Ovis aries: one gene and its partners. The protein of the gene in region 1 purifies or fractionates together with the protein of each later gene. This does not show direct contact. Links are inferred from orthologs where the notes say so. Each region holds a gene or a part of one and is shown on either strand. Other genes may lie near its edges. The genes, in order: PRKCQ, CHUK and IKBKB.

What was found.
Region 2: the proteins of PRKCQ (region 1) and CHUK purify together in Homo sapiens (affinity purification with western blotting, with the first as the bait; 3 studies listed by BioGRID). This does not show direct contact. The link is inferred for Ovis aries from reciprocal best matches to the Homo sapiens genes PRKCQ and CHUK.
Region 3: the proteins of PRKCQ (region 1) and IKBKB purify together in Homo sapiens (affinity purification with western blotting; 4 studies listed by BioGRID). This does not show direct contact. The link is inferred for Ovis aries from reciprocal best matches to the Homo sapiens genes PRKCQ and IKBKB.

The regions. Positions count from the first base shown.
Region 1 is NC_056066.1:11,280,136-11,287,915, forward strand, and holds part of PRKCQ (protein kinase C theta type), read right to left. Parts: intron 7,025-7,780; coding exon 6,907-7,024; intron 4,965-6,906; coding exon 4,804-4,964; intron 187-4,803; coding exon 13-186; intron 1-12. UniProt on the Homo sapiens protein: Calcium-independent, phospholipid- and diacylglycerol (DAG)-dependent serine/threonine-protein kinase that mediates non-redundant functions in T-cell receptor (TCR) signaling, including T-cells activation, proliferation, differentiation and survival, by mediating activation of multiple transcription factors such as NF-kappa-B, JUN, NFATC1 and NFATC2.
Region 2 is NC_056075.1:20,873,663-20,881,211, forward strand, and holds the end of CHUK (inhibitor of nuclear factor kappa-B kinase subunit alpha), read right to left. Parts: exon of another isoform or gene 7,207-7,549; coding exon 7,088-7,206; exon of another isoform or gene 4,951-7,087; intron 4,897-4,950; coding exon 4,797-4,896; intron 4,052-4,796; coding exon 4,022-4,051; 3' UTR 2,860-4,021; downstream 1-2,859.
Region 3 is NC_056079.1:36,449,926-36,458,244, reverse strand, and holds the start of IKBKB (inhibitor of nuclear factor kappa-B kinase subunit beta), read right to left. Parts: upstream 4,180-8,319; 5' UTR 4,077-4,179; intron 3,582-4,076; 5' UTR 3,564-3,581; coding exon 3,459-3,563; intron 1-3,458.

The DNA of each region.
Region 1 (7,780 bases):
CAGAAGCCTTACCTTGGTCTGGAATGTGCAGAACATGTGTGTTAAGAACGGATGCTCCCAGGCCAAGGAGAGGACCCTCTTCTCTACCATTGTGCACTCCACGTCATCGTCCATCAAAACCACATCTTTCTTTAAGGCTTTTATTGCGAAAAATTGATTGGTTTTCTTGAACTCTGCTAGGAAGACCTGGAAGGAATCAGAAGAAGCAGGGTTATTTTAGAATTTGGATTGACACTTGATAAAGAAGACTCATGATGTGCATGAGAGAGAGGTACTGGGGGAGGAAACAGAATTAATTCTCCAATCCTCCTCTATCCCCTTTATGAAGACAAACCGAGTTTTACTGGCGTGGGATGCTATTAACAGCTTCATCCACTCTACCTTTCAAAGGGTTTCACAAAATCAGATGGGTTATTCTCAGCCCCTGGAAAGACTCTATTTAAAGTGGAATCTAGGAAAATTGTATACATGAACCTATTTGCAAAGCAGAAACAGACACACAGATGTAGAGAACGAAGGCATGGACATCAAGGGGGATGGATTAGGAGGTTGGGATTGATACACACACACTACTATGGATAAAACAGATAACGAATGAGAACCCACTATATAGTTGAAGGAACGCTACCCAATGCTTGGACCGAAATGGGAAGGAAATCCAGAGAAGAGGGGATACGTGTACATGTATAGCTGATTCACTTTCCTATACAGCAGATACGCAACACTGTAAACCAGCTATACGCCAATACAATTTTTTTTAAAGTGTCCTGTCTGCCCAGAGACCTAAGTTTATAAAAAAAAAACAATCAGAGAAAAATGTGTATTGAGGAAGCAGCAGCAAGCAAGGAAGAGGAAGACTTGACTGCTTTTGAAATAATCAACAAAAATGAGCATAAAACCTTATTCCACATTTTACCCACTTTTTCAAGGCCAAAAAGCATACGTGAGAAATATAACTGTCCTGATGTACTTAAAGAATGCACAGCGTTTCCTCTGATGGCACAGACACTAACATTATCTTCAAGACCTACTATGTGCCAGACATTCTGCTACAGGCTTTACACATGCTATCTAATTTTAGTACCTGTTTAATTCTTGGTTCAGAACGCTCTGCAATACAGATAGTAATAATAAAAGAAACCTAGGGTCAAAGGGTAACTATCTCAAACTCACAAAGCTACTCAGTGGAAAATCTGACTCCAAAGCTGACTTTTTCCACTCAGTTTCAGGCATCTTATAAGACAGGACACCAGACGGCTTAGAGTGGAGGGTTGCTCCAACCTGTATTCTTGCAGATGATGCAGCCACAGGCAACTGATAGAAGTGAGGGCACGGCCTGTGGAGTCAGAAAGCCACAGCTCTGGCCTCATTTCACAGACATTTACCAGCTGTGGGAATGTGGGCTCACAAAGCAACCTCCCTGGGCTTCGGTTCCCTAATGTGGAAAAGCCATAACTATCACCACACTGCTGACTTACAGGACTGTTGCGAAAATCACACACCAGGTGGGGAAGCGACTCGCGAACTCTAAAATGCTTTCTGAATGACAGTTATTGGAATCTGAAACCAGAACGAATATATGTAACAAAACAGAAGCAGACTCACGGATATAGAGAACAAACCAGTGGGTTCCAGTCGGGGGGAGGGCCAAGACAAGGGCATGGGATTAAGAGGTACGAACTGCTCTGTGTAAAATAAATAAGCAGCGGCGATATTTGAATCTCATGGTGAAACAGAGCCATTATTCTGTGATAACTTTAGAATCCAGTCTATAAAACTACTGAATCATTATGTCACAACACATCTGCCGCTAATATAATACGGTGAATCAACTATACTTCAAAACTCCCACTCATCACTTGTTTCTTTTAGTGACTTCTGAGGAATGCTGAAGTTCATGAAGACACACCAGGAGTGGAAAATGCATGTGTCTATGTTTAAAATAATACAGTGCAGACACATAGCTTTGGGGGTAGCTGGCTTGATAGAGAGGGCAGAGCTTAGATGAGAATTCAGGCATGAAGGTGAAAGTGTGAGTCACTCAGTTGTGTCCAACTCTCTGCGACCCCACAGACTGTAGCCCACCAGGCTCCTCTGTCCATGGAATTCTCCAGGTGAAAATACCAGACTCGGTAGCCATTCCCTTCTCCAGGTGATCTTCCCAACCCAGGGATCGAACCCATGTCTCCTGCCTGGCAGTCAGAATCTTTACCATCTGAGCCATCAGGGAAATAATGTGCATAACCCCAGAAAACATGCCATTTATTCTCCTGGGCCTAAAATCAATGGAGAACCAAAACAGGCTACCATTTTGGTGAGGAACCATATCTATAGAGTGAAAAAAAAAAAAAAAAAAGAAAAACAAGAACAAATTTTGGAGTTCAAGAAAAGGAAATATATTCTGCTTTGGGGCTCCCCTCTCTCACTGGGGCCCCACAGTGCAGTCCCCTCGGGGTCCAGGGATCTGGGATTCTGATGGGGAGGAGCTTAGTCACAGAGCCGAGGCTACTGAAGCTCTCAGCTGTCCATTGGGTTATTTACTAAGGCAGGTAGGTTTAACTTAAGGCTGTGTTAACCTTGTTGAGAAGTAGAAATCTACCCAGAAAACAAAGAAAAACATTTCTATAACAATTAGAAATCCTCTTTTGGTAATTGCTTCTTTCAATAAAACATTCCTCCAAACCAGCCTTAAACTAAGAAGTCGAAAAGGCAATCTCTATCTCTATAATGTCCTGTCAATTTTTGGTAACAGGCTATCATGGCACATTAATTGATGCTACATTTTAATGAAGACTGGCTGTAAAACTGCCTATTGCACTCAGAATAACACAAGTGAGCCTGCGATGGTTCGTGCTATTGTGGAAACAAACTAATAGCTATTGGCTACAGTTGGCAGGGCAGAGTGGGTTTTGCCAAAGGCGATTCCTTGGTATTAAACCCGACCCCTACTAGCAATACAAAGTCATTCAGCTATGGCAAGACCTAGGTGCATTTCATCTTGTTTATTATTAAACTGGGTAAGTTTTACAGCCCAAGTCTGGTGAGCAGGTGCTGAGCATAATGCTGGCCTTGGTTGCACAAATTCATGGAACAGTAGTCTCTGGCTAAAATTCTCCAAGAAGTGACATCCAATATAAATAAAAAAACAACTGCTGCTGCTGCTGCTGCTGAGTCGCTTCAGTCGTGTCCAACTCTGTGCGACCCCATAGACGGCAGCCCACCAGGCTCCCCCATCCCTGGGATTCTCCAGGCAAGAACACTGGAGTGGGTTGCCATATCCTTCTCCAATGCAGGAAAAGTGACAAGTGAAAGTGAAGTCACTCAGTTGTGTCCAACTCTTAGCGACCCCATGGACTGCAGCCCACCAGGCTCCTCCATCCATGGGATTTTCCAGGCAAGAGTGCTGGAGTGGGGTGCCATCGTGAGATATCCTTAATAGCCAATATAACGTAAAAGCCTGTATTCCATGACATTCCTCTTTATAATCACTGACTTGACAATCTTCTCGTCACTGATAGTTGATTATAATTTCTTAGACTATGTTTTCCTCCTCCTCCTCCTCGCCCCCCGCGATAGAGAGCCCATACGTTGAGTGAGTGGCAGGAATAATTGAGAGGAGGGACTCCTCTGTGAAACTTTTCCTAAGACACTCAAGTTATGGCTGTAATTCTGGGCTGCACTGTGTCCCTTCCAGATAATTCCATGGACAGGCTCCTCTGGAATCTTCCTGACCCAGTGATCAAGCCTAGATCTCTCGCATTGCAGGTAGATTCTTTACCATCTGAGCCGCCAGGGGAGCCTTAATAATTCATATGCTGAAGTCCTAAACCCCCAGCACCTGAGAGTGTGACCTTATTTGGAGACAGGGTCTTTACAGAGATGATTATGTTCAAATGAGGTCATTAGGATGGGCCCTGATGCCATCGAAGTGGCATCCTCATAAGAAGAGGGAATCGGGACACAGAGCAATGGCCGTGTGAGGACACAGGGAGAAGACAGCGTCTACACCCGGGAAGGAGGGAGGCCTCAGGAGGGACAGCCCTGTCCACACCTTGACCCAGGATGTCCAGCCTCCAGAACTGGGAGAGATACATTTCTGCTGTTGAAGCTGCCCTCCTCTGTGGTGTTTTATTCCAGTAGCCCTAAGCTAAGACAAGACTGAGAAAAAAATCATAAGGAAAGTAAAACCACACTCTGGGTTGAAGAAAGGAGCAAAACAACAACAAAACCACCAATGAAACAAAAATATCTATGAGACAGGAACTGGCCGGGGCACCTCCCCGCTTCATTGGCGTCCAAAGATACCACGCTCAGAAGCTGATGGGATGAACACCTTCAAAGTGAGATGGCTGGAGCTGTTTTTCCCCAGGGAGCAGAGGCTGCTGCTCCCAAGAGCTCCCTGTGCTTAGTCGCTCAGTTGTGTCCGAGGCTGTGCGACCCCGTGGACTGTAGCCTGCCAGGCTCCTCTGTCCATGGGGATTCTCCAGGCAAGAACACTGGAGCGGGTTGCCACACCCTCCTCCAGGGATCTTCCCAACCCAGGGATAGAACCCAGGTCTCTTGCTTTGCAGGCAGATTCTTTACTGTCTGAGCCACCAGGAAGCCCCTGGGTCCCTTTTGATTCAGACCTCTCTCTGCCCTCTAACATACATCACATCACATCACATCCTGGCTCCCGCCCAGGAAGCCTCTCTCTGCACACCCATGCCTCATTTTGGTCCCACCAGCTCAGTTCCACTGGCCAGAGCTTTGCTTCTCAGTTTCTGTCATCTGGCCCACAGAATCCTACATACAGTATCATACCTTGCCAAAACTTCCTTTCCCCAGCATTTTGTGCAAGGTGAAGTCCTCGATTTTTAGTTTCACACGTAGAGAACTTCTTTCTTTGTTCGGCTCAGGTTCTGGACGATCGCATGCTTTCTCCATCTCTTCCAAGGGAGACTCCCAGGAGATCCCCTGAGGCTCTGAAAATGATAAGCCAGGGGTTAAAAGGAAACAAGGAACAGCGGAGCATCTTCCTAGCTATTCTGAGAACCTGCTTTCTTTTTCATATCCTGTTCTGAAGTTTCATCCGCAACAGCTCAGAAAGGGGTTCCTGCAGGGCAAAAGGAGCACCTCCTGCCTGGAAGCCTGAAATCTGGGGGGTGGACCATGTCTCTTTATGGGACAGACTGGGGGAAATGTCAGGTTAAGAAACATTCCAACCAGCAAAAGACAGATCTCTGCAGCAGAAACAAGCACTTTAGATAATGCCAGATCATGGACATATAGGGATTTTAGCTGAACTGGAGGGAAAATGACTCCCCATTGCTTGCATGGCTTGCAGGCATAACGGCATCAATTTCTGTGACCTACCATGTAGGGAAGAAGAACTGGATAGCAGATCACTGAAGGCCCGAATGGAATCATTCACCACAGTCTTCAGGTTAAGATGCTGCCTATTTTGATTGTCTCTGAGACATGGTTTACCCAGAGACCTTTCCCAAGTCTAATCCAAACACTTCTTTAAAAAAATTTACAGACAATTTATTCCTCACCCCATGCCAGAGAAGTTGTAGACCAACTTTCCTGGAACCTTGCTCCCACCCTCTTAGAACATTTCTTTTCTTAAAGTTGAAATATACTTGACATATCACATTGTGCTAAGTTAACACGCATAACATGTTGATTGACACATTTATCTACTGTGATATCACTTGATGGCACCTCATAGCACATAATTATCCTATCCTTTTTGTGGTTGGAATTGTGTGTGTGCTCAGTCATGTCCAACTCTTTGAGACTCCATGGACTGTAGCCTGCCAGGCCTCTCTGTCCATGGAATTTTCCAAGCAAGAATACTGGAGCAGGTTACCATTTCCTGTTCCACGGGATCTTTCCCATCCAGGGACTGAAGCTGCATCTCCTGTGTCTCCTGCCTTGGCAGGAGGATTCTTTACCACTCCAGGTTTGTCTTTACCACTCTAGGTTTGTCTTGCATATTCTACGTCCAAGGAAAATAAGTATTTTATAATATATGTTGAAGCTATTCAGAATCACATGTATACATATAGCTGAGTCCCTCCGCTGTTCACCTGAAACTGTCACAACATTAATTAATTGGCTATACCTCAATACAAAATGGTTTTGGTGTTAAAAAAATAAAAATCGAGAACCACACAGTCACAACCTCTCAAAAAGCACCTTCCAACAGGAGGCTGGATGAGCTTCCATAATATCATAAAATGTTAAGGATGTTGGCTATTCTTCCCCATTCTAATCTTAAACTTTCCAGTAAAGTCTCAAAGTACAGAATAAGATGGTCTGTGGTATTTCTACCTTAGTGCTCTATGGAGGATTCAGTTTTGTAGAACAGTCAGACCATGGCAGGGAATAACATTCTAAAATTCTAAGGAAAAGTTTGCCATTATTTCTGAGAATATTGCCATTATTTCAGAGGAACCCCATCTTCTTACCCCCACCCCAACGTCCCACAACCCCATCCACTTCCAAAGCTTTTCTAGTGGGCTGTACTTTGGTTTTACTTCTAGAAGTAGAAGCCTCTTTGTGGGGGGCTAGGTCGGTAATTTCTAACTAGAAAAGAATCATTCATCAGGCCAGGTAAAAGGAGGCTTTAACCCAGAAAGTCTTAGAGAAAGTGTCAGTTGCTCTGTTGGGTCCGACTCTTTGTGACCCCGTGGACTGTAGCCCGCCAGGCTCCTCTGTCCATGAGCTTCTCCAGGCAAGAATACTTGGAGTGGGTGGCCATTCCCTTCTCCAGGGAAACCTTCCCCACACAGGGATCAAGCCCGGGTCTTCTGCATTCCAGGCAGATTCTTTACCTTCTGAGCCACCAGGGAAGTCCTGGACTCAGGTTAATGAAGATGAATTACTGATGACAATTCCACTGTGAATAGGGATAGCTACCTTTTTTCCCTGGTCCTGGTACGTACGGCGGCTTTGCTTCACCTTTTATGGAGCACGGGAGACCAATTTCAACTGGACCTTCTCTGAAGATGTGCTCAGAATCTCTTAAGCAGCGAGCCTGGGTTACAAACAAGGAGTCAGACTACCCACCTACCCACTCAACCACAGACGGGACCATGCATGCCGCTGTCCACGGTCCCGAAGCCATTTCAGATCCCTGAATACGTAGGATAACCGAACCTCTCCTCCTCAGCACTCTCTTAGGATCCCGTACCCTGTGAACGTCTATTATATTTTATGCACCAGCAGAGCGTGCTCACTTCCTTCATATTTTCTGGGGGCCCACTGGTTTTTCCCACACTCCCCACTACGCTCAGTCACAAATAGGAATCAAAGACCAATGGATGGAAAAATAGCTCAAGTAGGCAAAGCCAAGTCTTTAAGATTTCTTTTTTTTTTTTTTTTTTTTTAAGAGCGGACAATTTTTAAAGTCTTCCTTGAAGCTGTTACAATATTACTTCTGTTTTATGTTTTGGTTTTTTGGGGCAAGGCATGTGGGATCCTAGCTCCCTGACCAGGGATCAAACTCACACTTCCTGCACTGGAAGGTGAAGTCTTAACCTCTGGACCACCAGGGAAGTCCCAAAGCCAAGTCTCAAAGAGGGTTTGTTCACAGATGTGAGGATTCAGCACGCTACTGAGCGGAAAGGCAAAGCTGCCTCGGATTCAGTGTTTTGGGGGCATTTTGGAGATGATTTCAGCAAATGTTTTTCCCACCAGCTATTACATAGTCATCTTATACAGGTATAAAGCCAGCAGTGAATCCTCAATAATTTTAATGAATACATTTGTTTGTGTCCCTGCTCATTCCATG
Region 2 (7,549 bases), on another chromosome or scaffold:
AGAAGGCACTAACTGAGAAGGGAGCCAGCCGCAGACTCCGGACGGAGGCCGACCCCTCGGCCGGGCCTCACTAATCAGTGACGCATCGTCCCCGCCCGCACGTGGAGCCGCCACCAAGGCCGGGCCAACCGCCGCCAACAGCCGGCCCCGCCCACCCGCGGGGCAATGCGGCTGCGCGGACACGCACGCCGACGCCGCGCCCTGCGACTAGAGACGGGGAGCGAATGGGACAAAATTCTCCAAGCCGCCCGCCAAGAGATTCGCGCGAAGGTGCGTAGGGTCTTCTCTGTGTGCTTTTGGTTTCCTGCTCCGGAAGAAAAGGGAAGTGGGGTATTGGAAGTAAGCAAAGGGGCAGAGGAAAGAAGGCATCTGAGACATCCCTTAGTGGTCAGTTTGTCCTTGTGCAAAGACATCTATTAACGTGCTAGAATGCTGATCCAGTGAGGGCTTTATGAAGGCCATCCAAGCAGTAAGAACCGAATGAACTAATAAGCACGCAAACGTGGGTGTGTGTTGGGAGGGTCCTTCAGGAAGACTACGAACAGTGAGCGTTTGAACTTCCTTGAAGCCTCTGTGTTGGAAAGGAGTGGGATATTAGGCTAGGCCCTGATTTTGAAAGGCCCTAAAACAGTGCTTTTCTGCAGGGAGGGGAAATTGGATGGCTAGAGAATAAACCCGGAGAAAGCAATGGCACCCCACTCCAGTACTCTTGCCTGGAAAATCCCATGGATGGAGGAGCCTGGAAGGCTGCAGTCCATGGGGTCGCTGAGGGTCAGACACGGCTGAGCGACTTCACTTTCACTTTTCACTTTCATGCATTGGAGAAGGGAATGGCAACCCACTTCAGTGTTCTTGCCTGGAGAATCCCAGGGACGGGGGAGCCTGGTGGGCTGCCGTCTATGGGGTCGCACAGAGTTGGACACGACTGAAGCGACTTAGCAGCAGAGAATAAAGACATACTTTCTTTTCACTAAATACTTTTCTGCCCTTTTAAGTTATTCATTGTTATTTAGTCACTAAGTAGTGTCTGACTCTGCGACCCCATGGACTGGATGCCAGACTTCCCTGTCTTCACTATCCCCCGGAGCTTGCTCAAACTCTTATTCATTGAGTCTGATACTATCCAGCCATCTAATCCTCCGTCTCCCCCTTCTCCTACCCTCCATCTTTCCCAGCATCAGGGTCTTTTCCAATGAGCCAGTTCTTCACATCAGGTGGCCAAAGTATTGGAGCTTCACCTTCAGCATCAGTCCTTCCAGTAAGTATTCAGGGTTGATTTCCTTTAGGACTAGACTGGTTTGCTCTCCTTGTTGTCCAAGGGACTCTCAAGAGTGTCCTCCAGTACCGTAATTGAGAGCATCAGTTCTTTGATGCTCATCTTCATGGTCCAATTCTCACATTGGTACAAGACTACTGAAAAACCATAGCTTTGACTACATGGACCTTTGTCAGCAAAGTGATGTCTCTGCTTTTAGTGAAAGAGTAAAGATAGGAGTGAGATAGATGAATATAAGGGAAATTAGGGCAGCATATTAGAAGAGGTTGGGCATTAGTCACACAAGCTTTGAAAGACTAGCAGTGGGACCACAAATAGACTAAAGTTGGAGAGCTCTGTAATCTCTTAGGTAGGGAAGTATGAGAAAGCAGTGCTTCTGGGTCAGTAAGTCTACAGAATAGCTCGGAGTGGAGACAGGAGACAGGGAAGCCAAGTGGTTAGTAAACTGCAGGCCCAAAGTTTCAGTAGTTGTAACTGGTGGAAATGGAAAGAGGTAATAGAATCAATTCAAATCTTCATTAAAGCAAGCCCTCCCAAACAACTTTACCTTTTCCCTTCAATAAATGCACTTACCTGGATCATCCCTTTGACTTTTACACCTAAGAATATATGGGACCTTGTCTGTACTAGATAAATGTTTGTTGCAGAGCTTAGCTATTTTGACCTACAAAAAGCAAAACGAATGAAAAATAACTCGTTTACTTCTGTTTTCTGGATGAATTATTTTAGTTTTTCATAGTATTGCTTGAATGAAATAGATATAATCCACAATTGAAATTCAACTCTGAAAACTGTCAACAAATAACAAATAGAGTGGTCAACTCATGTATCAAAAGCATATCTGAGGTGATCTCACTGTAATAGGCTGTTCTGACTCATACCACTTGCCTATATCATACAGATCAGGCTCTCCTGAGGTGGTATCAGCCACAAACCATAAAAATAGTCCCACCCTATACCAGGTCTTTTATCAGTTATTATAATGATATTTAGAAAATGCTCATTTCAAAAAGCCTTTAACAATAATTTCATTCCAAATAAACACTCTTATTGTACTGCCTGTGTTAATTTTTCTGATCTTCCCATTTTGCTCAGTTTCTTCCAAGCAACAGGCACCCAATAAATGTTTACTGATTAAAACCTTCTAGAACTGGAAGAAGCAAGAGAGAGACAGCCAGTTTTAATGGCTGGTAGCCAGAATGTCCATATTCAGAGAAACAGTAGTAGCAGTTGACTAAAAAGTTAGGCGAAGACAATCCCAAGGTCTCAAACTGAGATGACTGGAAAAATGACACTATTAGCAAAAATGGGGATGGTGTAACTAAGACAGCAGTTTTTAGGACATGGTATAAGCATAGTTTTTAGAAACAGATAGTGATGACAGGCCATCTCAGGAGAAAAGACTATATTAAAGAAGCTACCCAATACTGCCTTTACCGTAAGTCTGTTTCATTCCTAAGTACACTAAAAGCCTGTTATGTTACTCTGTGCTCCAACTTTGCTTCATGGAACCTTCACATTTTCTCAAAGCATATTCAATTATTCTGCTACAGTCTGGTTTTAATGAATAGAGATTCAGAAAGTAATTTAAAAATTGTTTAATATACAAAGTGAAAAACTGTCTAGAATACAAAAGCATTTCACATTTTTAAAACAAGTAATACCTTCTAAATTATTTAATAGACAATAGATCCACAATCCTTTATCTGAAACCCTGTCTGCGGCCATACCATCTTGAAGGCAACCCAATCTAGTCTTGAAACCCTTGGGGACAGATGCTTCAGAATTATGAAATTTTCAGATTTTAGAAAGGTAATTCAGTGCATATACCATACTACATAAACCTCAGGCAGGGTCTGTGCCAGCACCCTTCCCCCTAATAATCAAATACAGTAATATTTCTGCAGCAAAAGAAAAGAATATTCACACTAAATGGGATAAGTAGACTCACTGTCAATTCTTGTTGGATGTGCAAGCAGATGAATTTTGTCATCAATTTTATGAAAAATCTTGTTTTCAAAGATTTTTGGATTTTGGAATTATAGATAAAGAATGCAGATCTTTATAAATTTGTATGACAAGACATGAAAGATTCCTGAAAAGACCCATTTTTACAAATGAAAACAGATAAGCTTTCAAATACATTATAAATTAACAGGTATCTTCTCTTTGATATTATTAAATGTACATCTTAAATACATATACATATAGCACACTTAACATTTGGAAGAATCAATTGGTATTAAAGGCACAAATGCACAATCCCTTTCATAGGAAAGGGATACAATCAAATGTACAGTAAAATGGAAAATGGGATTAAACTCTCTTATGAGGCTGGGAAGAGCACTGTTAAGTGCAACACAAGTACAACACAAGCAGTCTCTTCCACAGAAACATAGGCAAACACTTTTTACTTAGAATACATGTTGAGATTTTCTTCTCTGTATACATTATTTTGGCCTTATGCCCAAAAGTTAAATGTTGAAAGAATCAGTTAAATAAGTAATGTTTTACCAAGTTTGAAGACAAATGGATTTAAGTCCACCGACTCATAAAATTCTATCTGTTCAGAAGTTAAAATTACCCAGAATCAAAATATTATGCTGTAAAATCATGTGGAGTTTCTGATCATAGTCATTTCTTCCATTGACTGGTATTTGAAGAATGGCTTCATAGGAGAAAAACAAATGTCTAACATGTGCAGCAACAACTTCATAGGTTTCAGGAGAGTCACTAAGTGGCAAGTCATTCTGTTAACCAACTCCAATCAAGACTCTAAAACCAGGCATGAAAAAGTTACCATTAGATGTTGACTCTAAGCAGTAGGTATATGGGTGTTCATTTTTGCAAGTTTTCTGTTTATTTGGAGATTTTATAATCAAAAGTTGAAAAACCAAAAATACAAATAAGTTACAATTAAAGAGTCTAGTTTACCTTAATTTCTACTAACAAAAAAAAATTTTCAAAGAGTTTTCAGATATTTGAAGCAAATAATGAAAGAGGAATAAACAAAGAATTAATATCAAGACTAAACATAGTAAAAGTTAATTCAGTAAATATTTTATTGTAGTTTCGCCAAGTTTTAACAAATCAGTAATTCATAGCAATCAAATCTTCATAAAAACACTTCTGTTAATAACCATATTAACATTATTCATTTTGCACACAACAGTTACTATATTTGAAGTACAGTACAAATTATGCCCCATCTTACTGGGGAAAACTGACTGCAGAAGCAAAAAAGTACAGACCATTTGATTTCAGTGGTCACACTGCAAAGAAAGCTCACCAATCATTTAACTTGACCAAAAATGCTATTAAAGATTACTGATGGTATAATCCTAGTATATCCATGAGTAAGAGAAGATGGGGAGTTGAGGTTAAGCATTCCTCAAATGCTGTTTGCTCTGAGTTCTATTCCCCAACTGAATCCCAAACACCAGATAAGTCCAGCATGGAAAGTTAAGCCCTTTGCACCCAACACACTTAAAACACACATCCATATTCATATAAAACTTACCATCATACTGTTGCCCTGTTTTTCATTTGCTTCATGAATAATAGTGCTTAAATGGCCAAGACAGTTCAAATTTTCTTCTATCATTTGTGCTAAAGTCTCCCTGTCGAATGAAAGCAAAAGGGCATATGAATTTCCTCTACTTTCTGATTTTCAGGGTCAGGATGATACTGCTCTTGCTACAACACCACAACCCAGCAACCCAACACAGCTGATTCCTGTTGTCTTCAGTTTGCTCATCCCTCCCACCCAGAGGCAGAGTCCTGTTTGTTACTCCAGGCTGCTGCCTCTGCCCAGCTCTAATGATAAGGAGTCCACTATAACGCCAATCTGATTTTCCTCTGAAATATAAGTAGCACTTATATACAACTTTTCCCCCCTGAAAATGCTCACTCGGGGAAAAAGAGATCCTGTGGCACAGCCAGATGAAAGATCTCTTTTTGTTTCTGGAACATTTCCTTTTCCTTACAAGTAGTAAAAACATCAGCATGCTTACTTCTGAGACACAAATGTAGGGGAAGAGACAGAAAAGATAAGCTATCTTTTCTGCAAAGATTAGGGAAGGTGAAAAAAACTGTGGAAAATATAGATAACAGCAATGAAAAAGAAAAGCAAGCTGATTCCTGACGACAGCAGAAGAAAACTATGACGGGGAGCTGCAAAGAACAAAGAAGTATCCTTGGAAATTTGAAGACAATCCTGAATCTGATTTCTATCTTCTATACTTTCCTCTTCCATATGGCCTCCATCCTTACCTTTTACTAACCCTCAGTCCCTACCCCAGTAGAACCAATTCCAGGCCATGGAAGATGGTCACTGTTAGCTTAGAACTAAATTCTCATTCAGCTTATTCAACAGATAGAAAAATTGAGGTCAACAGTCCCCAGTCCTTGGTGGTTAAGTACCACAGGTATATTATTACTGAAACCAGTTTTCCTTTTGGAAAATATATTTTTAAATTCCTGGTGAATATATTTTTGCAAACAATCATAACCTCACACTGAAAATCACTTGTATAGAGGTAACATTTGCAACCATTTGCATTCTCTAATAAACCCAAGTGTCTCTAATGAAAGCAAAAAGATATTAAAGTTTATTTGTATCAATTCTGATTAATGAAATATTTCCTAAAGTCCATATAACTAATTATAGTCTATGCTCTAGCTGTGGATGTATTACATTGGGCCAAATGTATAATGACCCTAAAATATACCCTAGAACTTGCTTTCTTTAAGAAGATAGAATACCTGGTATCAGCTTGCCTTCCTGCCATGTGCTTTTCTCTTATAAAAGCAGAGTACAGAATGTGCAGCTCTGACCTCCTGAGCAGTGATGTTACACGGCTGCACCTCTGGAAAACTAGTTATGGGCAGAGCTTCCAGGAAATAAGCGATAATACACAAGCTAGCAAAGAGCCACTGGCTCTGGATATGGCACATCTCATGCTGAGAAAAATAACAGAAATGGATAGTCATTCAGCTTTTAGCAGAAGAGTAGGAATTAAAGGAAAGTATAGGACTTCAAACTTGAGTTGTTTCCAAAAACGATTTAAGGCACTGAAAAAAGTCTGAAGTTATAAAATGAGTACTGCTGCTAAGTCACTTCAGTCGTGTCTGACTCTGTGCGACCCCATAGACAGCGGCCCACCAGGCTCCCCTGTCCCTGGGATTCTCCAGGCAAGAACACTGGAGTGGGTTGCCATTTCCTTCTCCAATGCATGAAAGTGAAAAGTGAAAGTGAAGTCGCTCAGTCATGTCTGACTAGTAGCGACCCCATGGACTGCAGCCTACCAGGCTCCTCTGTCCATGGGATTTTCCAGGCAAGAGTACTGGAGTGGGGTGCCATTGCTTTCTCCAAAAATGAGTAAATTAAACTCAATTCCATTGGGGGGTGAAAGGCCCTAAAATGACAACTGCAAAAAGACAGCATAAATTCTTAGAGATAAATGATAAATTTAGGAATAAAGTATGGCTAAAATGTTTAATAAGTCAATAATAGAAAAAGAACTTAGAACTTGGATTGAGCTAAGAAGAAGTAACATTTGCTGAAGATTCACTTCCCAAGCATTTTATATATACTGTCTAGCTGAATTTTCATAGCATTTCCCATTTTACAGGTGAGGAAATGTGAACATTGAAACAGACAAGTTAACTGTGTGGGGTTATTACAAAGGGACAATCAGGATTCAATTCTGGTCTATAAGGCAGTGAAGACTACATCTTAACCACTTTACTGTCTTATTCCCACCACTGCTCTTGAGCACACAACTATCTATTGTAACAAAGTGAACCCACCCATCTTGAGGAGTTACCACGCATGACAGAGGATGTTCACGTTCTGCTGAAGTTGGGGGCAGCTGAGGGGTTACACCTTCTAGACTGGATCCTACAAGGGACCGAGCAGAACTCTGTGTCTGAAGGAAAAAAAAAAAATTACAGGCAAGCACCTTCATGCATTCATATTCCTAAGACACATTTCTATCACTACTTTTAGGCACAACCAGAGTATTTCTGTACAAAACTATCTCCACACCCTACTAATTATCCTGTCCTGGACCTCTTTCTTCACTGACTAAAATCAGATGTCCATCCTTCCATTCTACGTTAGTTGGAGAAAAAAACTCCAGTTGAACAAAGGGGTGGTTTTTCAATTAGCCAGGCACATCTATCCCCAAGTTTGGTTGGGTGACCACAGTGGTCTAGGGTTGGGAGGAGTATAAAAACAGGAAACTAGAAAGGAGAGAGAATGAAGGATGA
Region 3 (8,319 bases), on another chromosome or scaffold:
CACGGGGGCCCCCGGGGGTGGAGAGAGCAGACAGTGGCCCATCCTGACAGAACTCTCTCTCAAGGAAGCTGAGGTGAGGTTGTAGTGGGACGCGGGCTGGAGCCAAGACTCTGAAGGCCCCGGCCCAGGTCTGTGTGGGGCTGAGCAAGGAGCTGAGCTCCGGGAGTTGGTGGGGGACAGGGAGGCCCGGCGTGCTGCAGTCCATGGGGTCACAAAGAGTCAGACACGGCTGAGCAACTGAACTGAACTGGGGAAGGAGCTAGCTTCTTCCGTCCTGATGCCAGGGCTCTGCTGCACCCCCCTTCCCCCACAGCCATGGGGTTTGCTGGCATCGGGAGTTTCCCTGGTGACTTTGAGTAACTACCACCTGCAGGAGTCCTCTGGCCCCCACGTTCCTCTAGGGGTTGCTCCACCCACTGGGAGCTGCTCCACCCATTCAGAGCTCCATGTCTTCCAGCTGATAGGGGAGGCTGGGGGTCTGAGATGACCTCTGTTGTGACTGGCCAGAGGCCAGCATGACTCTCCCTGCTGGCTGCAGCCAGGCTCCTGGGAATCTACCATCTCTTCAAATCCAGAAAGATGCTGGAGGCCCTTCATTAAAAAGTGGGTACCTTCCCTCAAGGGCTTCAATGTGTCTGAATTTTGGGTTAAGAAGCTAGTATTAGCTATAGGGTAAGTGAGGGTTCCTCTGAGCAGAGGTCTCCAAACTGGGTATAGGCAGGGGTTACTCAAAACAGGAATCCAAAAAAAAAAAAAAAAACACACACACACAGGAAATGAAGCTCTCCCGCTATTAACCGAGCAGCACCACGCTCAGAGTGTCTGTCAGGTTGCGCGCCACTTCTGACACTCGGGGGATCCCGAGGACAACGGGCTTTCCAACAGCAGGGGCGGACAGGGGCCGGTGGGGACAGGCCGGAGGCTCCGAGCGCCCCACTTACGTAGAATTACGGACAGTATCATCCGATTTTAATATGTTCAGTTCAGCCACTCAGTCGTGCCCGACTCTTTGCAACCCCATGGACTGCAGCACGCCAGGGTTCCCTGTCCTTTACCAATTCCCAGAGTTTACTCAAAGTCATGTCCATCGAGTCAGTGATGCCATCCAACCATCTCATCCTCTGGCATCCCCTTCTCCTCCTGCCTTCAATCTTACCCAGAATAAGGGTCTTTTCCAGTGAGTCAGTTCTTCGCATCAGGTGGCCAAAGTATTGGAATTTCACCTTCAGGATCCGTCCTTCCAATGAATATTCAGGACTGATCTCCTTTAGGATGGACCGGTTGGATCTTCTTGAAGTCCAAGGGACTCTCAAGAGTCCTCTCCAATACCCAGTCCAAAAACATCAGTTCTTTGGCGCTCAGCTTTCTTTATGGTCCAACTTTCACATCCATACATGGTTACTGGAAAAACCATAGCTTTGACTAGACAGACCTTTGTTGGCAAAGTAATGTCTCTGGTTTTGAATATGTTGTCTAGGTTGGTCGTAACTTTTCTTCCAAGGAGCAAGCATCTTTTAATATCATGGCTGCAATTACTATCTGCAGTGATTTTGAAGCCCCCCAAAATAAAGTCTGACACTGTTTCCGCTGTTTGCCCATCTATTTGCCATGAAGTGATGGGACCGGATGCCATGATCTTAGTTTTCTGAATGCTGAGCTTTAAGACAACTTTTTCACTCTCCTCTTTCACTTTCATCAAGAGGCTCTTTAGTTCTTCGCTCTCTGCCGTAAGGGTAGTGTCATCTGCATATCTGAGGTTATTGATTATTTCTCCCAGCAATCTTGATTCCAGCTTGTGATTCATCTAGCCCAGCATTTCTCATGATGTACTATAAGTTAAATAGGCATGGTGACAATATACAGCCTTGATATACTCCCTTCCCAATTCGGAAACAGTCTGTTGTTCCATGTCCTGTTCTAACTGTTGCTTCCTGACCTGCATACAGATTTCTCAGGAAGCAGGTTAGGTGGTCTGGTATTCCCATCTCTTTCAGAATTTTCCTCAGTTTCTTGTGATCCACAGAGTCAAAGGCTTTGGCATAGTCAATAAAGCAGAAGTAGATGTTTTTCTGGAACTCTCTTGCTTTTTCGATGATCCAGTGAATGTTGGCAACTTGATCTCAGATTCCTCTGCCTTTTCTAAAACCAGCTTGAACATCTGCAAATTCATGGTTCATGTACTACTGAAGCCTGACTTGGAGGATTTTGAGCATTATTGTGCTAGCGTGTGAGATGAGTGTAGTTGTGCAGTAGTTTGAACATTCTTTGGCATTGCCTTTCTTTGAGATTGGAATGAAAAGTGGCCTTTTCCAGTCCTATGGCCACTGCTGAGTTTTCCAAATTTGCTGGCATATTGAGTACAGTACTTTAACAGCATCTTCTTTTAGGATCTGAAACAGCTCAACTGGAATTCCATTACCTCCACTAGCTTTGTTCATAGTGATGCTTCCTAAGGCCCACTTGACTTTTCATTCCAGGATTTTAATAAAAGGACTCTCATAAAATGGATGAGTGGCTTAAAGAGATTCTTGTGGAGAATTTCAGTGCATGTATCACCAGGACAAACAGGAATATGGAAGCCCTAATGCTTGTGGGGTGAAAAATTCACATGTCAAAGACATTAAGAAAATGATGATCTATGAGATGTAAAATTGGCCCAAAGAATTCAAATTATAAAGATTACTTGAAACGTGCATGTTCACCCACCATCCTCAACGATAATTCTCATTTTCACGTGCCTCTGTATAACTCTCACTGTGAGGTATTGCAAACAACACTGGGAAGACACCATAACTGCTAAGTATTTAAAATGGTTTTTAAATTAACTTTTAAAACATTTAAAAATGGTTTATTATTTTTACACTTAAGATTTTTCTAAAGTGTGAAAACATGTTTGCATGTTTCATAACATCTAATACATTAGTACACAATATATTCAGTTCAGTTCAGTTGCTCAGTTGTGTCCGACTCTTCGCGACCCCATGAAATGCAGCACGCCAGGCCTCCCGGTCCATTACCAGCTCCCGGAGTTCACCCAAACTCATGTCCATCGAGTCGGTGATGCCATCCAGCCATCTCATCCTCTGTCATCCCCTTCTCCTCCTGCCCCCAATCCCTCCCAGCTATCAGAGTCTTTTCCAATGAGTCAACTACACAATATATTAGTAGGTGATAATATTAGGTTAGCAAAGATATGTAATTTTAAAATATATATTTGAAGCTGAAAACTTACATTTTTTTTTTTTTTTACTATTTATTTAGGTGACATAGTCAGTAAAGCTTGGAGACCACTAACCTAGTCAGCTTAGGGGACCTGAGGCTATCTTCCCAGGCCCTTTCTCTCCCAAGAAGCCCAGGGCCAAGGTGAGCCCCATTCACAGGGTGGGTAGGGGGTGAGACTTAGTCTGCACCCCCTAACCCTGCCGCCCCCCGGCTCCTCCCAGCAGCACAGAGCCTACCTGATTGTGCCATCGGATGACGTTCCCAAATCCCCCTGTCCCAAGCCGCTCTTTCATTTCCCAGGCCCCGCATGTCTGGGTTGGCAGGGAAGGTGACCAGCTCATACTGAAGTCCTGCTAACGCTGCAAGCAATGTGGGGGGCGAGGGGGGGAACAAAAGGTGATGGTTAAGGAAAAGTGGGAAGATGGACAAGGTTAAGAGATGCCACAGCGCTTCGATGGTAAAGAAAAATCGGAACTGATTTTTCATCTCCGTACATAAAAGCAGGTGGCTGGGTCTGGTTTTCGTTTGGGCAGCAAAGTCCTGTCTTTCGCAGCCCCCCATCCACCTCACCCCGAAGCAGCAAGGGGTGGGTGGGGGTCCCGCCCAGGACAGGACGCCCCCGCACCCAGGAACTGCCAGGGGATCCCCGGGCTGCGCCCCCCGCTCCGGCGCCTCCCCGCTGGTCCCGACTAATCACCGCCGCGTTCCGGGCCCCCGCCCGGCACCACCCCGCCGGGGCCTCCCAGCCCTCCCCGCCCGGGAAGCCCCGGATTCGGGGCCGGTCACGCGCGTCTCTGGGAGCCTCGGAGACGGGGGTGCGGGTGACAGCGGGGGCGCCCGCCCGAGGCACTCACCTGGCGGCGGGGCGCGGGCGCCGCCCCGAAGACATGAACGCGCGGGGCCCTCAGAGCCTCGAGACAGGCGCCAACTTCCTCAAACACTTCCTGCTCTGACGTCACGGGGCACGTGGGTCGCGGCCTTAAAGGGGCCGCCGGCCCAGACTTCCCCGCCCCTGCCCGGTGACCGACCCTGGGGAAAACGCCCCCGTGCGCTTTAGACGTGCGACTTGTACCTGAGCGCTTTCTGGGACGGGGAAGATGGGGATTTCCTCACCTGCCCCGCAGCCCCGCCCCGGGGTCAGCCTGACCAGGCTTCCTAGACTTTAAAGTAGGGGAATTTCCCGCTCCTCCCCCACTCCCGCTCCCCCCCCTCCCCGCCCCCCCCCAGGATGGATTTAGGGACGTTTTACCAGAATTACCCTGGGGCTCTAGCTTTTCCGGCTGTAATCCCTCACCTGGTCTGGAGACTCCTGGGCTCAGATCGATAATGATAAATCACACCTGTAGTCCCTAGGCGTGACAACCTCCTCTTCCCTCTTAAAAAAAATTAAGAAGAGGGGGAGAAAATCTAATACTGTAACGCAAAACTGGAGGTTCAGCCCCAGTAACGGGCGGAAATTGTGAGACTACCTCTCGGCCTGTTAATCCTTCATCTCCGACCTCCTTGGCATCATGATTTGAGTTTATTATTGAGTTTCTCAGTTCGAGGGCAACATATTAGCAGACAAAGATTGTGTGTATGTGTGTGTGTGTATTATTACTCAAGCAAGGGTAAGGTATCAAAGGCAATCTGAAGATAATAGCTCACTTTACAGAGTGATAGAGTGCTTAGTGAGTCGGTCAGTTCAGTTCAGTGGGGTCCAACTCTGTGACCCCTTGGACTGCAGGATGCTAGACTTAGCTGTTCGTCACCAATTCCCAGAGCTTGCTCAAACTCACTTCCATCGAATCAGTGATGCCATCCACCCATCTCATCCTCTGTCATCCCCTCCTCCTCCTGCCTTCAATCTTTCCCAGCATCTGGGTCTTTTCCAGTGAGTCAGTTCTTCACATCAGGTGGCCAAAGTATTGGAGCTTCAGCTTCAGCCATCAGTCCTTCCAATGAATATTCAGGACTGACCTCCTTTAGGATGGACTTGTTGGATCTCTTTGCAGTCCAAGGGACTCTCAAGAGTCTTCTCCAACACCATGGTTCAAAAGCATCAATTCTTCGGCCCTCAGCTTTCTTTACGGTCCAATTCTCACATCCATACATGACTACTGGAAAAACCATAGTCTTGACTGCTGCTGCTGCTGCTGCTGCATCACTTCAGTCGTGTCTGACTCTGTGCGACCCAGAGACAGCAGCCCACCAGGCTTCCCCGTCCCTGGGATTCTCCAGGCAAGAACACTGGAGTGGGTTGCCATTTCCTTCTCCAGTGCATGAAAGTGAAAAGTGAAAGTGAAGTCGCTCAGTCCTGTCCAACTCCTAGTGACCCCATGGACTGCAGCCTACCAGGCTGCTCTGTCCATGGGATTTTCCAGGCAAGAGTACTGGAGTGGGATGCCATTGCCTTCTCCAGAAGTCTTGACTAGACAGACCTTTGTAAGTGGCTGACACTAAATCTGTACTTAGGTTTCCTCATCCAGTCCTCAAGGCCACCCTACAAATTGGACAGTACTGCATTATTATTATCTCCATTTTACAGATGATAAGACTGAAGCACAGAGAGAAAGTCTTCATCCCAAAGTCACAGGCTTTTAAGTGGATAATTATCTGATGTTCAAACTCCAGCAGCTGTTTTTGAGTGCAAGGTTTTAATATGTAGCTAAAAGTAGCATACTAGTAAGTTTAGAAGGATTTTAAATCCAGGGACTGCTGTTGACTACCTCTGGGACTTTAGGTATTCAGGTACCTAAAGAGTTTAGGTACTTCAAGTTACTCAGACCACCCCAAGCAGCCCGTTGCTCTTTAAAATGCAGGCAACATTGATGGGTGGACTTGGAGGGCATTATGCTTAGTGAAATACATCAGACAGAGAAAGGCAAATAGAGTATGATATCACTTCTATGAGGAATCTAAAAAAATACAACAAACTAGTGAATATAACAAAAAAGCAGCAGAATCACAGACAAAGAGAACAAACTTGTGGTTAGCACTAGGAAGAAGGAAGACGAGAGGGACATGATAGGGGTAGAATTAACAAACTACTATGTAGAGGGTAAATAAGTTATGAGGATACATTGTATAGCATGGGGAATATATCTAATATTTTGTAATAACTAAGATGCTGGGAGAGACTAGGGGCAGGAGGAGAAGGGGATGACCCAGGATGAGGTGGCTGGATGGCATCACGGACTCGATGGACGGGAGTCTGAGTGAACTCCAGGAGATGGTGATGGACAGGGAGGCCTGGCTTGCTGCGATTCATGGGGTCACAAAGAGTTGGACACGACTGAGCGACTGAACTAAACTGATGAAAAAAGTGAAAGTCACGCAGTCATGTCCGACTCTTAGTGACCCCTTGAACCATACAATCCATGGAATTCTCCAGGCCAGAATACTGGAGTGGAGAGCCTTTCCCTTCTCCAGGGGGCCTTCCCAACCCAGGGATCGAATCTAGGTCTCGATCTAGATTTGCAGGCAGATTCTTTACCAGCTGAGCCACAAGGGAAGCCCAAGAATACTGGAGTGGGTAGCCTATCCCTTCTCCAGTTGGTCTTCCTGACCCAGGAATCAAACTAGGGTCTCCTGCAGTGCAGGCTGTTTCTTTACCAACTGAGCTAGAGTATAATCTGTAAAAATTATGAATCACTATGTTGTGTACCTGAAACTAATATTGTAAATCAACTGTGGTGCTTGGTGCTAAGTTGCTTCAGTCATGTCCAACTCTTTGCGCCCCCATGGACTGTAGCCCGCCAGGCTCCTCTGTCTGTGGGATTCTCCAGGCAAGAATACTGGAGTGGATTGCTACGCCCTCCTCCAGGGGATAATTCAGAGCCAGGGATCGAACCTACATTTCCGGTGGCTCCTGAATTGCAGGCAGATTCTTTACTGCTGAGCCACTGGGAAGCCCCCAGATCAACTATACCTCGATTTTTAAAAATGTAGACAGCATAAGGTTGAATTGCATGAAATTATCATTTTTTTTAAAATAAAACGAAACCAGCTGAAACATCAGCAACAAAGATTAGCAGTTTTATGTGGTTCAGCCTGAAAACAACAGAGGGCACAAGTCAGAGATGGGAGGGGCTGGGGAGCTTGTTATGAAGACAGATGATGAGATGGTAAAAGCCGTGCCTGACAGGAACTCTGACCTGGACACAGCCTGAGTCTGGAGTTAACGCTTAGGAACAGACACCAACACGAGCAGAGGGGTCAGTGCTGCCAGGGTTGACGCAGACATGCCAGGATGCTCAGAGTTTCTGCATTTATGCTATTGCTTCTGCTAAACAACACACTTGACCTCAAAGCAGAAAGAGAAAGGAACATGCGTAAATAGTTGTAAAACATTTAGAATAGTGCCTCACATGTTTTCAGTGCAATTTGTTTCTTTAATAAATCAATTTTTAAAATAAGTTTGTTTTTATAAATAAAATTTGAACTCCTATGGGTGCTGGGCCCTAGGTAGAGTCCGACATCCCAGAAGATTTCCTTTTAATCCTGTCCTCAGAAAATCACTGTCCTTGAGAAATTTAACGAGACATCCATTGATATGCCAAAAGTTCATTCTGTGCCACTGTAATTTAAGCATTTTCATTTGCTCAGCTCAAAATAACTTTGTTTTCAGCTGAACATAAATCTCTCTGATAAGTCACATATTGCTGGATTTAAAAAAAAAAAAAAATAATGACAGCCCAGGAAGGCGTCTCTGGGTTTTATCACATCCCAAGATGTTTATCTTGTTAAACTCCTTATTCCTTCCAGATAAGATGTACTCACTGCCTACATCTGGTCTTTATCCTGTTGTAGAGATGAGTGCAGAGAAGGCAATGGCAACCCACTCCAGTACTCTTGCCTGGAAAATCCTATGGACGGAGGAGCCTGGTAGGCTGCAGTCCATGAGGTTGCTAGGAGTCGGACACGACTGAGCGACTTCCCTTTCACTTTTCACTTTCATGCATTGGAGAAGGAAATGGCAACCCACTCCAGTGTCCTTGCCTGGAGAATCCCAGGGATGGGGAAGCCTGGTGGGCCGCCTTCTCTGGGGTCGCACAGAGTCAGACATAACTGAAGCGACTTAGCAGCAGCAGCAGAGATGTGTGAGCTGATTGTTTA